Lonchura striata: one gene and its partner. The protein of the gene in region 1 purifies or fractionates together with the protein of each later gene. This does not show direct contact. Links are inferred from orthologs where the notes say so. Each region holds a gene or a part of one and is shown in the gene's direction. Other genes may lie near its edges.

What was found.
Region 2: the proteins of SATB1 (region 1) and TRIM47 purify together in Homo sapiens (affinity purification with mass spectrometry; 4 studies listed by BioGRID and IntAct, with this or other methods). This does not show direct contact. The link is inferred for Lonchura striata from reciprocal best matches to the Homo sapiens genes SATB1 and TRIM47.

What each region holds. Positions count from the first base shown.
Region 1 is NC_134603.1:120,688,913-120,695,941, forward strand, and holds the start of SATB1 (DNA-binding protein SATB1), read left to right. Parts: upstream 1-3,882; 5' UTR 3,883-3,989; intron 3,990-7,029. UniProt on the Homo sapiens protein: Crucial silencing factor contributing to the initiation of X inactivation mediated by Xist RNA that occurs during embryogenesis and in lymphoma.
Region 2 is NC_134621.1:4,377,771-4,384,817, forward strand, and holds the start of TRIM47 (E3 ubiquitin-protein ligase TRIM47), read left to right. Parts: upstream 1-3,952; coding exon 3,953-4,669; intron 4,670-6,344; coding exon 6,345-6,440; intron 6,441-6,974; coding exon 6,975-7,047. Other genes in the region: E3 ubiquitin-protein ligase TRIM65, read left to right, coding at 63-234, 566-646, 1,749-2,269. UniProt on the Homo sapiens protein: E3 ubiquitin-protein ligase that mediates the ubiquitination and proteasomal degradation of CYLD.

The sequences.
Region 1 (7,029 bases):
AAGCCCCAGGTAATATCAGATACAGAAAAAAGCTCACATATATATGTATTTGGTCACTGGATCCATGTGGATTCTTTTAACCCCACTCTAGTCCTTGCTGAACTTCACTTTCCACCCCTCTGTACTCATGTCTAAACATAAAGGTATTTACATGTCTGAAAGGAACTGGAAAGCAACTGTGATATTTCCCAGAGGATTTTAAAGCTCTTCTCACAGAAAACCAACAGATCATTATGTCACAGTGGCACTTCAATAAAAGGGACACCTCAGGAAGGGCCTCTGACATGGTTATGATTAGCAGATTCGTCACTTTCACTACCTCACTTGTAAAAGAAAGACTGGAACAGAAATATTTTCAGTCAGTATTATCCTTCCCTGGAATCAGTTATGTCTGTAGGCCTTATAAGATGTGCCATCAATAGGATGGTCTTTGGATAAATATGCACTGCTGGAAGTACCTAAAACTGATGGGTCTTTGAAATCGTGTGTGTATCTGCTGTTCCTTGGCAGGTTCTAAATCCACAAATTCATGAGTGGCTTATTGTGATTCATATGCCACTTTCATTTTTGGCAGGTAATGCTAATGGTATTGGAGAATGACTATTTGAATGAGATCTGCACCCACTTCCCTCAAATCAGGACTCTAAAAATGCTCAGAAAGGAGCTGTCAGCATAAATAAAAAAATAATTTAAAAAGAATGTATACTTATTCTGTATAGGCTTTCAGCTGCACAATTCCAGACATCAGAGATGAGCAGGATGAACAGGACTTTCTATAGTTCCTTTCTAAGCATTATAGCATCTATAGCTCCTTTCTGAGCATGTAGAAGGCTGGGCAAGGAAACATTTAGGGCGGGAATTGAGGAAGAGGAAATATCTACATGTCAGTAATAGGAAAGTTATATTGTACATCTGGCTTTTAGGCATGCTTTGATGACATGCCACAGCTAAAGAGCAGGCAGTATATGTGTTGCTTCAGTGACATGAATGACACAACTTGGTAAAACTCACTGCTTAATGACATAAATTGTAACTCTCAAACACAGTATATGGTTGTCCCATATGTATTTCGGTGTTTAGACTCATATTAGGTATTTTGATACTGAAAGCACTGAAGGAGCATTATGCTGAAAACCAGTGCACACTAGGTAAGCAAGAGCACCTTATCTATACTAATGCTGGACTTCCCATCATAGTTTGTTGTTTTGTAACAATACCATAACATTTAGCTAATATTGTTTACAGTAGCCCAATGACAAGCAATTCTATTCCCATTACTGCAAACAGTCTGGTATTAAATATTTGTTTCCAAAGTAAACTGCCTGATGTAGCTGAAAAGTATTACCACACTTTTTTTAAAAAAAGCTGAATAAACCTTACCTGTTAAAAACAAAATGTGACCTAAAAAAAAGTGTGTGTGTTTTGACTAATATACAAAGTTGATGAAAAATAAGGTTTATGCTACATTTCTATTTTAAAGAAGGATTTTCAATAGTGCACTTGAGGATCTTTAAAAGGGATCTTGGTCTAAATTCAGTTACAGTTCTGGATCTGGTCTTAAATCCATGTGTAGCCTCAGGCAAATGCGTTAATTTTCCTGTTTCAGTTTCCCTGCCTTTAAAGTGGGGATAACGTGACTAACCCAAATAGCTTAGCTGCAATTTGTAGCAATGAGTAACTTGATTATTAGATTTCTGAGACATGAAACATGATTATTATTAGGGCTTACTGACCAGCCAGTCAGAAATGTGATACAAATAAAGGAGATGGGTCTTTGACAGTAGAAGGATGTAGGTTAGTCAGTCAGTCAGTCAGAGTAGCTCTGCAAGGAGGCAACTCCAGGGAGTGGAGAGTTGGACCTATAAAAGAGAGAATGTCCCCTTTGTACTGATCTCCTGTTTATTACCCCATGGTATCAAAAGATAATAAAAAGCTAAGTCCTCTCTGAGAAATGAAGACATCCAAAGCACTACAACAAATCAGCTGCAGGCAAATAAATTTTTATCTGTGTAAGTGAGCTCGATGTTATTTTCTAGTGGAAATGTTAGAATTTATTAAAGACCTAGGATTTTTATTTAAAATGAGAAAGTAGGGGATGATATGTTTTAAATAGAGAAAAAGTCAGAGGACTGTTAACATGGAGATAAAAGGGTGAATTAATTTCTGGTGTTGTTGCAGTAATTTGGTATTCAACATATTGAGTCCAAATTCGCACCATTGCACCTAGTATAAATAGTAGTGACTTTTAATAACTGTGACAAAAATACTCTCCCCACTGGCAAGGTCAATATTATTAATTGCTATTCCTATTATTAACCTTTGGGCTTGTGTATCCTCCATGGATTAATGATTATTCAATAACTGAGCTACAAGGTTAACTTACTAATAGCAATTAATAGAATGACATACTGCTGGCTAACTAGGAAAAGCAATGACGAATCAACTTCTTGGCCTTGGTCTTGTTTGATGGAAAGGTGCCTATGGGAATTGTACCTGTCAGTTCCCACAGCTGAAAGACAAAAATCTGCCTCAAAGTTGAGACAAATAAAAAACGGAGATTGGGCTGACATCCGGGTCCCCTCTCTTGTCAGTCTCCTTGGGAATAAGAAACAGCCTCAGCTTTCAGGGAAACATGCGTTCAGTGGTCATTCTCCAGTAGCTCCACTTCCAATCCTACATCAGTGAAGAGGGGAAAGAAGGTCTTAAAAACAAAAAAAGGAGAGAAAAGTACTTCCCCTAGGAGAAGTTTCATGAATAAAGGCAATTCTCTAACAGCGTTACAGAGCACGTGGTGCCAGGTGAAACACCAGGCAGGCGTAGCACAGTGATGCGGGACTCGGCCCCGCTCCCGGCCCGACGGGGCAGCGGGACTGCCGGCAGGCAGAGGCCTCCGGGGGATGCCTGCCCGCACCCGGGCATCCCCAGCCCGCGGAGACCGCCAGCGCGCTAGCGGAGCTTCTCCATCAGCCACCTCAAATCGCGGGTAGCCGCGGAGCGCTGCCTGCCCGAAAGAGGCTGCCGCCGGGGCTCTGCGAGTAGCGGCGGGGGGCGGCCAGAGGGCGCGGGGACAGCTGTGGAAATAAAGGAGCGGGGGAAGGATGGAGAAGGGGGAAGAAGGGGGCGGGGGCGCGGTGCCGGGGAAGGCAATGCGGGGACGGTGGAGGGTTTCGACCCGAGTTCCGGGGAGAAGGGGGACGCGGCAGGCACGAGTAAACGCACACCACCATCCCCCGGCACTTGCACCAAGTCAGCCCCACCGCCCCCCGGGGCCGGGAGCCGCCGGAGGGAAGGAGCCGCCGCGCACACACACAGACACACGCCACCGCTGCGCTCCAGCCGCCGCTCGGTTCTCCCCCCCTCCCACCGCCGCCGCGCAGGCAGGAGGCAGCGGGCGCGGAACAGAGCGGGCGGCGCAGGGCTCGGAGACCCCGGCCCCAGTCGGACCGGCCCCCAGCGGCCGCGCTGCCCCGACGGCACCGCCGCCCCCTCCCCGGGGGCAGCGCGCACCTCCCCGCCTGGAGGGGCCGTACGAGGCAGCAGGCGGGGGGACCGCGGGCACACACACACACACAGCTCACACACATATACACACACACGCGCAGGCACACCCGCACAGACACGCGCAGGCAGAGGCAGGGCTGCCCCACGCCGGTACCTTGCTGCCCTGGTGTTTTCCGTCCGGGCTCCTCCTTGCTGAGGCAGCTCGGGAGCGGAGCCGAGCGGGCGGGTGCGTGTGCGTGTGTGTGTGTGCGTGCGTGCATGCGTGTGCCTCTGTGTATGTGTGTGTGTGTGTGTGTGTGCGCGCGTGTGTATGCGAGAGCGAGCGAGCGAGAGAGACTCTCCCCCCTCCCCCTCCTCCTCCTCGCTCTCCTTCCTTTAAACGCCCACTCCTGATGGGTGAAAAGACAACTTGAACTTCAGTGCAATTAACTTCGCCGGCGCCTCGGAAGCCGGAGGTGTCGCCGGCCTCGCCCGCCGCGCTCCCATGAGTGAGTTGGTCCCGCTCCTTCGGCGTCTCTCCTCGGGGACGGGGGGGACAGAGCCGTGCCGGGGGCAGCCGCCGCGGCGATTTACCCGGCTGTGCCGGCCCGGGAGGGCGGGCGGGCGGGAGGCGCGGGGCGGGTGGCCGCGCCGGGCGCTGCCGCTGCCGGAGCCTCCCGGCCGGCGCGGGCTCACACCTGCCGCCGCGCCGCTGCCGGTCGGCGGCCCCGCTCCGCTCCGCTCCCTTGCCCGCTGCCGCCTCACCCGCCGCTGGCACGGGGGGGAGCGGGGGGAAGCGGGGGTGGGGGCAGAGGGAAAAACCCCCAGAAGTTTGGCAAAGTTCTTACCCAGCTTCGCGCGCCTCCCGGCAGCGGCGGGCGCGGGGCGGCGGCGCCCCCGACGGCGCGGGGCGAAGCGGCGGGGCCGGGGGTCGCGGGCGGGGGGCGGGGGGGTCGCGGGGTGGCGCTTCCGCAGGGCGCGGGGGTTGCGCGGGCGGCCGAGCGGCCGCGGCTGCCCCAGCCGGGGGCGCGCCCGTGGCGGCGGGTGGCAAGTCCCCCCCGCCCGCCCGCGGCACGACCCGGGGCTGCCGCTGTCGCGGGGAGCAGCGCCAGCAGCTCGTCTGTGTGCTCCAGGATTTACTTTTGATTTTTCTACTCCGTCTCCGAACCCGCCACCCGAGGTTTTGCTAAATCCTCGCCCCTTTGTCGCCGTCTCCGCCGGCTGCCGGGGGGAGCGCTCCTGACAGGCACCTGCCCGACCCGGAGTTTCCCTCTGCCAGTCTCCAGCTTTTTCTGACTGCGGGAGAAACTTCGCTACAATCTAAGTTTTCTGAAACACTTTGCACCAGCTCCTAAGCTGAAATGAGTTTAAACTGAGAAAAGCTCTCCTCTGGTTTTAGTCCGTGCAAGTGAGCGCAGCGATTCTGTGAAAATAATTCACAAATTCAGATGCAGAGACGTGTGATCTGGAGGTGCCCTTTCATTCTGGTCCGTGCTGCTTGGGTGGGAGTTAGTAGCAGCCCCTTATTTCTACTTTATATTATTTTGGTACAGCGCATTCATATATTTGTCTGCTGTAGTCTGCTGGCAAACATTAGCATTCAAGCTTACATTTTTGACAAATGTGCAGACAGGAATAGCATGAATAGGCATCTTAAATATTAACAACCTAAGCATCTGTTATGAAACAAATTTAATATATTTACTCTGTTTTTCTCACATTGTTAGGAAAGGTTACAATAAGTGTAAAATTTCAGCTGTAGTTAGCACAAGGAATGCTTGGATATTTCACTATCAAGCATTTAACACAATCACCAGATAGAAATGTGTCAAATCAGGCGCACTATTCAAAAACAACTCGAAACTGTATGCGTAGAGTGTATAGACATGAATATAGCATGTTCTCTGTAATTTCTATCTTCTAATTACTTTTCAGCAGTATTTGTAGAATTTGAGAATGCTCTTTCCAGTCCCGTACTCCTATATGCTCTTTAATATGTTTATACATATACACACACTAATTTTCTAATTCACTTTCTATTTGAGATCGTTATGGATATTACCTTGCTTTTCAAGTTGAAGCAATGGTTTTGCAAGGAAATGTGAAATAACGTAGAGTAGGTAAAAAAATGAGCAGGCAGAAAATGCAACGTGTTCACATATAAGCATGCGTCAGAACAGATAGCGCACACACATAATAAGGCAATAGAAGAGAAATTAAAATCCTTGGCTAGTATGCTATGTATGCCCACTCTTCAGTACAGCTAGTGGAAAAGAAACAACTGACTCCAAGGAATTCCTCTGTCCCTGCAATAAAACTGTTCAGAGTAGAACAAGAGCACAGAAAAGCAAAGCCTCCAAAAAGGCTGTAGAGTTATTTCAGGAATCAGTGCATTCCTTCCCTTTTTCCCACAAGTTCAAATATGTAATAAATAAGTCCTTTGTATGCAAAATAGTTTACTGGAACAAAAAGATACTTAAATGAAATGCTTTTTGTGCATGAATTTTGAAAAACTGGCCATTTCCTTTTTATATTCTTTGTTCTTGATACTTTAAATAGCAAAGTAACTCTCGCAGTTTCCCCTCTCATGCTATTTTAGCGACTCGTGTGAATCCTAACCTGCTGCTGTGCTCCCGAGAAAGCAGTGTGAAGCAGAGTCGCTCTGTAACTCACTGATGGGACACGGTGCTTTGGCAGTATCAGGAGCAGAGAGAGCCTGCCATGCCAGCCCCAGCTTGTACACGAGCAGGGCACCTCTTTGGTTTGCAGCGTAGGCCCAGCGGGTGAGAGGATGAGCACCTGCCCTCTGTGGCTGTGCTTCCCAAGGCAGCATCAGCCCTGCCTGCAGCCCTGCCAGCATCCCACAGGCACCAGCCACCACGTTCAGCCCTGCTGGGGACGTGGGCACATCCACCCCTGCAGCACGAAAACCTCTTTAGAGAGGTTTCTCTAAAGAAAATGTTTCTCACACATTACAGGTTTGGGATAGAGAGGGTTTTACATGTGTGAAACTGCCATTTAGAAGATAATCAGATGAAGTCTGGTGATCTTGTTAAAAAAAAAAGACCAACAAAAAACTCACCAAATCTTTTAAACGTATCAACTACTTGGTTTTTCAAAGTACTGTTACCTTTTTAATGTCACCTATTTTTTTAGTCTAAATATTGTCAGAGGAATTTGAAGTAATTCCGTAGGTTTCCAGCTGTATTTGAAATAAAAAGAAAATTAAGAAGATTACTTTATTAATAAAATAGTTCATAATATATAGAAAAATACATTAAAGTAGATTTCTGAATTAAAACTGGAGGAAATATGACTTCTGAAATGTTTTAGTCATATTTCTAGGAACTATGGTATTTTAACATAGACTCTAGTGAAGCATTTTATTGCTTTCTTGTATATAACTGCCATTGCTCTCTCTAGATATATTTAATATATATCCAGTGAAGCCACAAACTTTCCTTCTACAACAGTTTAAACACATCTGGAACATTTTACTTTCTTATAATTTATGTTAATAGATGTAGAGTGTATATACAATCTTCTCAG
Region 2 (7,047 bases), on another chromosome or scaffold:
TGCAAATGGGTTTGCACAGTCCTCCCCAGACTGGTTCATGGTGTCTGTGTGTCTGTCTGCAGGAGTTCCCCCTGTTCCCACCTCTGGAGAGCCCAGAGGTGCTGGTCCCCGTGGAGTTTGATGTGGCTCCTGTGATCAAGCCCATCTCTGAGATCCTCACCAGCATCTCCAGGCTCCTGCTAGAGGACCTGCCTGCCTGTGTGGCCCCCAAAGCCCCCAACGCTGCTGACCAAGGTAACCCTCCTGCTCTCAGGGGTACTTTGAAAGGCTCTGAGTCATCCTGAAGATGAGCCTGGCCTGTGCCACTGCTGGGGACACAGCTGTTGGGCACAGGGGTTTAGGATGGGACACACATTTACTGGTCAGCAGATGAAGAGGGATGAGCAGGGTGGCTTCCCTGTGGCCCCTCCTTGCTGGGAATGCTGAACCATGGTGGCACATGCCTGCTCCCAGGTGTGGATACAGTGGAGTTCCTCCTCCTCCTTCTCCTTTTCTTCCCATGAAGCCAGGAAGAAAGAAGTTTTTGGGTGGCATTACTCAAGATGCCTGTTCCCATCCTCCACAGGCCCAGTGCATCCTCAGGAGCTGGTGGTGAAGGCTGTGGACCCTCTCCCCAAGTGCCAGCTCCGAGCTGAGCTTCTGAAAGGTAAGGAGCACAGAGGGCCTGGAGGGACAGCACCTCACTGGGGTCCCCAGCACAAAGAGATGTCACCAAGCCAGGCTCCTTCCTGGGAGGAGGGTGGTTGTGGCTACAGGGACAGGAGCACCATCCCTGGTTCTTCCAATGTGTCTCCCTAAATGCAGAGAAGGGTGGTCTGGGGGCAAGGTGGATGGGCTGGGATGGGAAAGGACCCATTAGGGGGATTAGGAGCACCAGGAATTGCTTTCCCATGGAACTGAGGCTGTCTGGTATTGGATCAGTCACTGCCCTGCATGGCACAGCCCCAGTCCAGAGCCATGCCTGCAGTCATTGCTCTCTGTCCAGGAGTATGGTCTCAGCATTCCTAGCTATAGTCCTTCATGTCCCCTTTCCTCCCCAGGCCAGCCATCCCCTGTTGTTAGGAAATTCCTCTGTGCTCCTCTTCCCACCTCCTCCCTGTTGGGAAGAGGTTTGGGTGATGTTCAGGCCATGTTGGTCATGTCACTCTTGCCAAGGAGTCAATTGCTGCCTGCAGGAATTCCTTCCATCAGGCCCCACAGAACATTCTTAGGGTTATTAATGAGAACCCCCTGTTATTTATGGGCAGCAGGCAGGAGCCCAGCCAGCTGCAAGGCCCAGGTGTTGGGGGAGAAAGGTGAGCTGCTGGTGGCCAGGGAATGCCCACAGCAGGAGCTATCACAGCCCATGCAGAGGAGAGTAATTCCCTGCACTACCATATTTGCTCACTTAACACCTGGTTTTCTCTCCCTCTCCCAACCCACACTGGTACTTTTTCCTCTTAAAATCAAGCACATCCCTGCCAAAATGGCCACAGAGCCACTGTGCTCACAATGTGAACTCACAGCTGTGAGCTGGGTTGTGTAAGAACTGCAAAACATTGTGTTTCAGTGCCTCAAAAGCTATTTCTGGGCTTTTCCATTCTCTTTAGGGCAGGTGTTGCATCCTCCCCACTACCCTTCCCCTCCAAACACCCTGTTCCCTTCCATCTCGGGGGCCAGCCCTACAGAATTTAAACCCCATCACTGCTGGGAGGGCATAAAGGTCTGATGAAGCATTTCAGCCCCATCTGTCCCCTTGCTTCCCCCAGACCACCGCAACCTGACCTTCGACCCCGAGACAGCCAACAAGTACCTGGAGCTGTCCAAAGGTGCCCGCAAAGCCAAGCACAGTCCTGGCACTGTCCCTGGGCAGGGGCAGGGCCCCCGCTTCGAGCCCTGGCAGGTGCTGTGCACGCAGAGCTACGGCCCCGGCCACCACTACTGGGAGGTGAAGATCTCCAGCCACTCTGTCATCCTGGGGGTCACCTACCGGGGGCTCCCCCAGGAGCAGCAGCAGGGCCACAGCTTCAACATCGGGCTGGATGGGGGCTCGTGGGGGCTGCAGGTGAGGGAGGATTGTTACCTGGCCTGGCACAAGGGCCACGCCCAGAAAATCCAGGAGCAGCTCTATAAGAACCTGGGGGTCAGCCTGGATTATGGCAAGGGGCTCCTCTCCTTCTACGGCCTCGGGGAGAGGACAAAACTCATCCACTCCTTCCACAGTGTCTTCACAGAGCCCCTGTACCCTGTGTTTTGGCTGTGTGAGGGGCGAGTGGTGACGCTGTGCTAGAGGCACTGAGCCAGAGCCATAGCAAAGCTGGCAGGTCCAGGCTGGTGCCAAAGTGGAGCTGCAGCTGAGGCTGTCCTGGTGCAGTGGGACCTCAGTGCTCAGGCAGGTGTGGAGTGCAGTGTTTTAACAAGAGCTGATGGGGACAGACATGTAAATTAACCTGTTTGATTTGCATATGCAAATATCACACTAGTGACATATAGCGGGGCTGGAGCTCACCATGGGTGCCTGTCCCTGCAGACAGAGCAAGGAAATAAGGGATAAGGAGGGTGAAAAAAAATGAGATTTTCCTCTTCTATCCCTGCCAAACTCCCAAACCTGGGGAAGGGAGGTACTGCTGCCATGGGGTGCTCTGAAACAATTTGGAGGGACCTCTGTGCTCACACAGCCTCACATGCAGGTAGGTCCTGCTCCCCCCAGCCCCTTCTTGGTTTTCTCTTGCTGTTTTCAGACCTGGCAGAGCAACTTCTCAGGGTTCTACACTGCAGGTCTTTGTACAATGCTGCTTTTCCCAATAAAGCTTTATTTTCTTACTGCTTTGACCTTGCTGCTGTTGGGAGATGTGGGACCCTGCAGCAGTGGGGGTGGGGGGGAGCTGACTACCACAGCCATCCCTGCAGGGCCCCATCCTGCCCCTCTGTGTCCCCATGGGTCCTATGAGTGACCAGCAGAGCCAGAAGGTGCTTTATTTACTGTAGCACTGTGATAAGGAAACCTGGTTTCCTACTGCTCTGCTCCAAGGTTGATTTGGCAGGGAGGAAAGTCCAAAGTTTTCATTGATGTTTTTCCAAGAGTGAGACTGCAGGTCCAACGTCTCCTCCCGCTTCTGTGGGAGTGCTGGTGAGGATTAACAGGGTGAAACTGGGCACTGGGTTCAAAAGTGCTGGGGGTATGAATACCTGGGGAATGAATCACATCATTGTTAAGTTTGGGGACAAAAAGCTTAAAAGGTTCAATCCCCTTCATCAAGAACATATTTTATTTGTCTTGTGCTTCCTGCTTCACTCAACACATCCCTGCTCTCGCAGCCCTGTCCTTGGGTGAGGCCTTGGGCCAGCATCCACCTGGGAACTTCTCCAACTCCAAAAATTGTCTGTGTATCCTGCACAGAAGGGGTCCAGAGATCTCACAAGGCAGATCTTCACTCTAAAAGCACTTTGGGGTCTCCCAGCCCTCTCTGGTGCCTGCCAGTTTCTGCCAGACCCCAGGGGAGAAGGGGACAGTGACTGAGCCAGGACCTGGGCACTGCAGCCCTTTTTGGCCATGGGGAGGGCTGATGTAGGTCCACGGACACGAGGGCTGGCAGGAAAGCACCTGCACCTGTGCACTGGGGGGGCTCAGGACCTTTCTTGTGGCCAGGTGGTGGGGAGCAGTGGAGCAGCAGCAGGTCCTAGAGAGGGAAGGAATGCTCAAGGGGAGCAGCAGGTCCTAGAGAGGGGGACTGGAATGGGCTGGCACAGCTTCCCCGGATGAGAGCAGATGCCATTTGGGGTGAGACCCTTTCCAGGACGCCGCGGTGGATGCTGTGGATCAGCGCTCCGAGCGCGCAGCAGCCCCGCAGGCACCGCGGCGAGCGGAGCCCGGCTGCGGTCGCGGGGAGGCGGAGCGGGCGGGCGGGGCGCGGCTGCCGCCCGCCCCCGCCGGGGCTGGGACCGGGGCCGGGGCCGGTCGGGGCGTTCAGGGATGGATGCTGCGCCCGGGAGCGCCCCGTCGTCCTCCGCCGCGGCGTTGCGGCTGGCGCTGGCGGCTCCGGGGCTGCCGGAGGGTCCGCTCGGCTGCCCCATCTGCCTGGACGTGCTGCGGGACCCGGTGACGGTGCCGTGCGGACACAACTTCTGCCAGGGCTGCTTGCAGGAGCTCCGCCAGCGGCCAGGCCCCCCCGACGGCGGCGGGGCGGGCGGGGCCGCCCGCTGCCCGCTGTGCCAGGAGCCCGTCCCCGCGGCCCTGCGGCTCTGCAAGAACCGCGCCCTGTGCGAGCTCCTGCCGCTGCTGGCGGCCGCCACCGGCGGCTCGTCCCCGTCGCCCTCGGCCGCCGCGTCTCCGACATCCCCGATGGCGCCGGGAGCCGAGGAGGAGGATGCTGCGGGCGAGGAAGGAGCGGTGGTGCTGTGCGATGTGTGCCCGCCGGAGTCCCGCGTGGCGGCCGAGCGGTCGTGCCTGGTGTGCCTGGCGTCCTTCTGCGGGGCGCACCTGGAGCCGCACCGGCGCGCCCCGGCTTTCCGCGCACACCGGCTGGTGGCCCCGCTGCGCCGGCTGGAGGAGGGGCTGTGCCCCCGCCACCTGCAGCCCCTCGACGGCTTCTGCCGCACCGAGCAGAGCTGTGTCTGCGCCCGCTGCCGCACCCACGAGCATCGCGCCCACGACGTGGTGCCCCTCGAGCAGGAGCGGGAGCACAAGCAGGTGCGCGGGGTGGCGAGGGGCGCGGAGGTGCCCACGCGGGTGCTGCGGGTGGGACGCTGGTGTGGGGGTGTCGTGGGTGCCATCCTGCACCCAGGTCCTCACGGGGAGCCCTGTCCCCACGTGGGGTGTGTGCAGGTGCAGCCCTGGTGGGATGCCATGTGGCGGGGGGGTGTTGTGCTCTCACCCCTCGGGGGATTCCACCCCAATATATGGACAGGGCGCTGCGCCATCAGGGAACCCCTGGGATTGGGGCAGGATGGGCAGGTGGGGATGGGTATCGGGGCAGGGGCGCTGCCAGGCATCCCGTGGGGAGTCTTCCCGCTGCGGAGCCGGACTGGCAATCCCGTGGGCGTAGGGCTGGGGCGAGGCTGCCTGGGACACCCCACAGCGGCCACCCCCGCGCTCCTGGGGCGGCCGCCGTCCCCGTCTCGTTCCCACAGCTCCGTCGGGCGCTTTTTCTGCCCGCGCTGGCAGCCGGCCCGGCCGCCGCTCCCGCTCCCCCAGCCTTTTGTATCCTGCCGTCTTGGCAGCGGGGGTTTTTCCATCACTCCCATTCCCAGATGTGACTGAGTCACCTCCTAAACTCACGCCCACGAGCCTTCCCAGGAGCCGGGGCTCCAGTCCCAACGTGGTGCCGCCTTCCTGGGCACTGCCGCCTTGAAAGTGTGGGGCCTCTGTGGGGCTGCAGGCAGATGGGAACCTGTGGAGCTCACGGTGTGGTGGCATCTCGCATGGCCATGAGGCATTTGGAGACCTTGGGAAAGTTTGCCTTTTCCAAGGAGGAGCCCAGCCCCAAGCAGCAGCCCCAAGCCAGCTCCCCCTCCTGACGGGCTGCAAAGATTGCAGGAAAACCCTTTTATCAGCACTATTAGTCATGAGGTGCCTTAAAATAGAAAGCGTGTGTAATCCCAGCCCCGAGGAGCTGTCAGACCTCGGCAGGCGCTGCTCAATGTCTCCTGCAGGACCTCTGTGACTGCCCCCGGCCACCGCTGCGGGCTGGGATGGGTGTCCAGGGAAAGCACCTGTAGCTGCTCCCCGGGAACAAGCGCTGCAGGGACCACGGCCGGGGGTTGAGCATCAGCAGGGAGCTGTCGTGGCTGGGGAGTGCCCTCCTGGCTCCCGAGGGACCCGTCCTCGTGATGGGCAATGGCTGAGCCAACAATAGCATCTCAGGAAACGCCGTGTTCCGAAGGTGCTTCCTTTGCAGCCCGCGCTGCGGAGCTGGTTTGCTTTGCTCCTAAACAGAAACCTCATGGGGACTCTGTGCTGAGTGTCTGGGTGCTCCAGGTTTGCCTTTCAGCTTCTGCACCAAACCCAGGTGGATTTTTCCCAGCCCTGGATACTTGCTAAGAGCACTGCTTAGCTGCAATCACTGCCTGATGGGTTTGCTTTCCAATTCCTGTTTTGTTTGGTTTCCGCTGGGGCCAGGGTGGGGAATATGGAGCTGGACATGACCCTTTCGTTTCCCAGCTGAGTGAGAAGGGATGTTTGCAGGTTGGATGTTGCAGGGAAGGAAAACAGGACAACAACTCATGGTTCCCCTTGCATCCTTCACCTGAATAGCAAGGTCTCTGTCAGAGAGGGTCTGTGGATTAAGCTTAAGGAGAGGCTGAATGCCCTGTGGCTCCCGTTGGGACTGGGGGTAAAGCTCAGTGTTTGTCCTTCATGTCTGCAGGCCCAACAAGCCAAATTCCTCAGCGATGCAGAGAATGAGCTGCAGGAGCTGGCAGTCACCATCACCCAGGCCAAGAAGATGGTGGAGCTCATTAAGGTGACTCTGCAGTGCCTTAGCTCTGGTAGTGCAGCTCTGCTGGGCTGGGGGTGGAGGAGAAGGGGCTGTGAGATTTTGGGGTGCGTGGGGTGTAAAGATGGTGCTCACAGGAGCACCATGAATTATGTGATCCTGGCAGAGATCCCTGAGGATTCTTTCTCCTCATCTCTGCTAACACTCCTGGCATCTCTGGTTGCTTTCATTTTTAACATGGAAGAAGGAACAGGGCAAGGGCCGTGCCAGGACATCCTCTGGCTCTTGCACCTTGTCTCCCCAGGCTCATGGGGGGGTTGTCCCCTTTGGCCCTTGTGCAAACACATCACTTTCCTGCTTGGGGACACCAAATGTGGTGCAGCAGGAAGTGGCAGTGTCCAGCCAGGTCTCTTGGCAGCTGCACTGTGAAGTGATCTGAGTTCTTGGGTGAAGAGGGTGATGGAGTGTCAGGGGGATTCCACGGAGCTGAGAACTGGGTGCTGGGCAGGGCACCTCCTGCACCCTCACCTTGGGACCTGACCCCTCTCTCCCCGCACTCAGGGTGCTGCCACAAAGGAGAGGGACAGGGTGGAGAAGCTCTTTGCAGAGGCCTCTGAGGTGCTGGCAGCCTTCC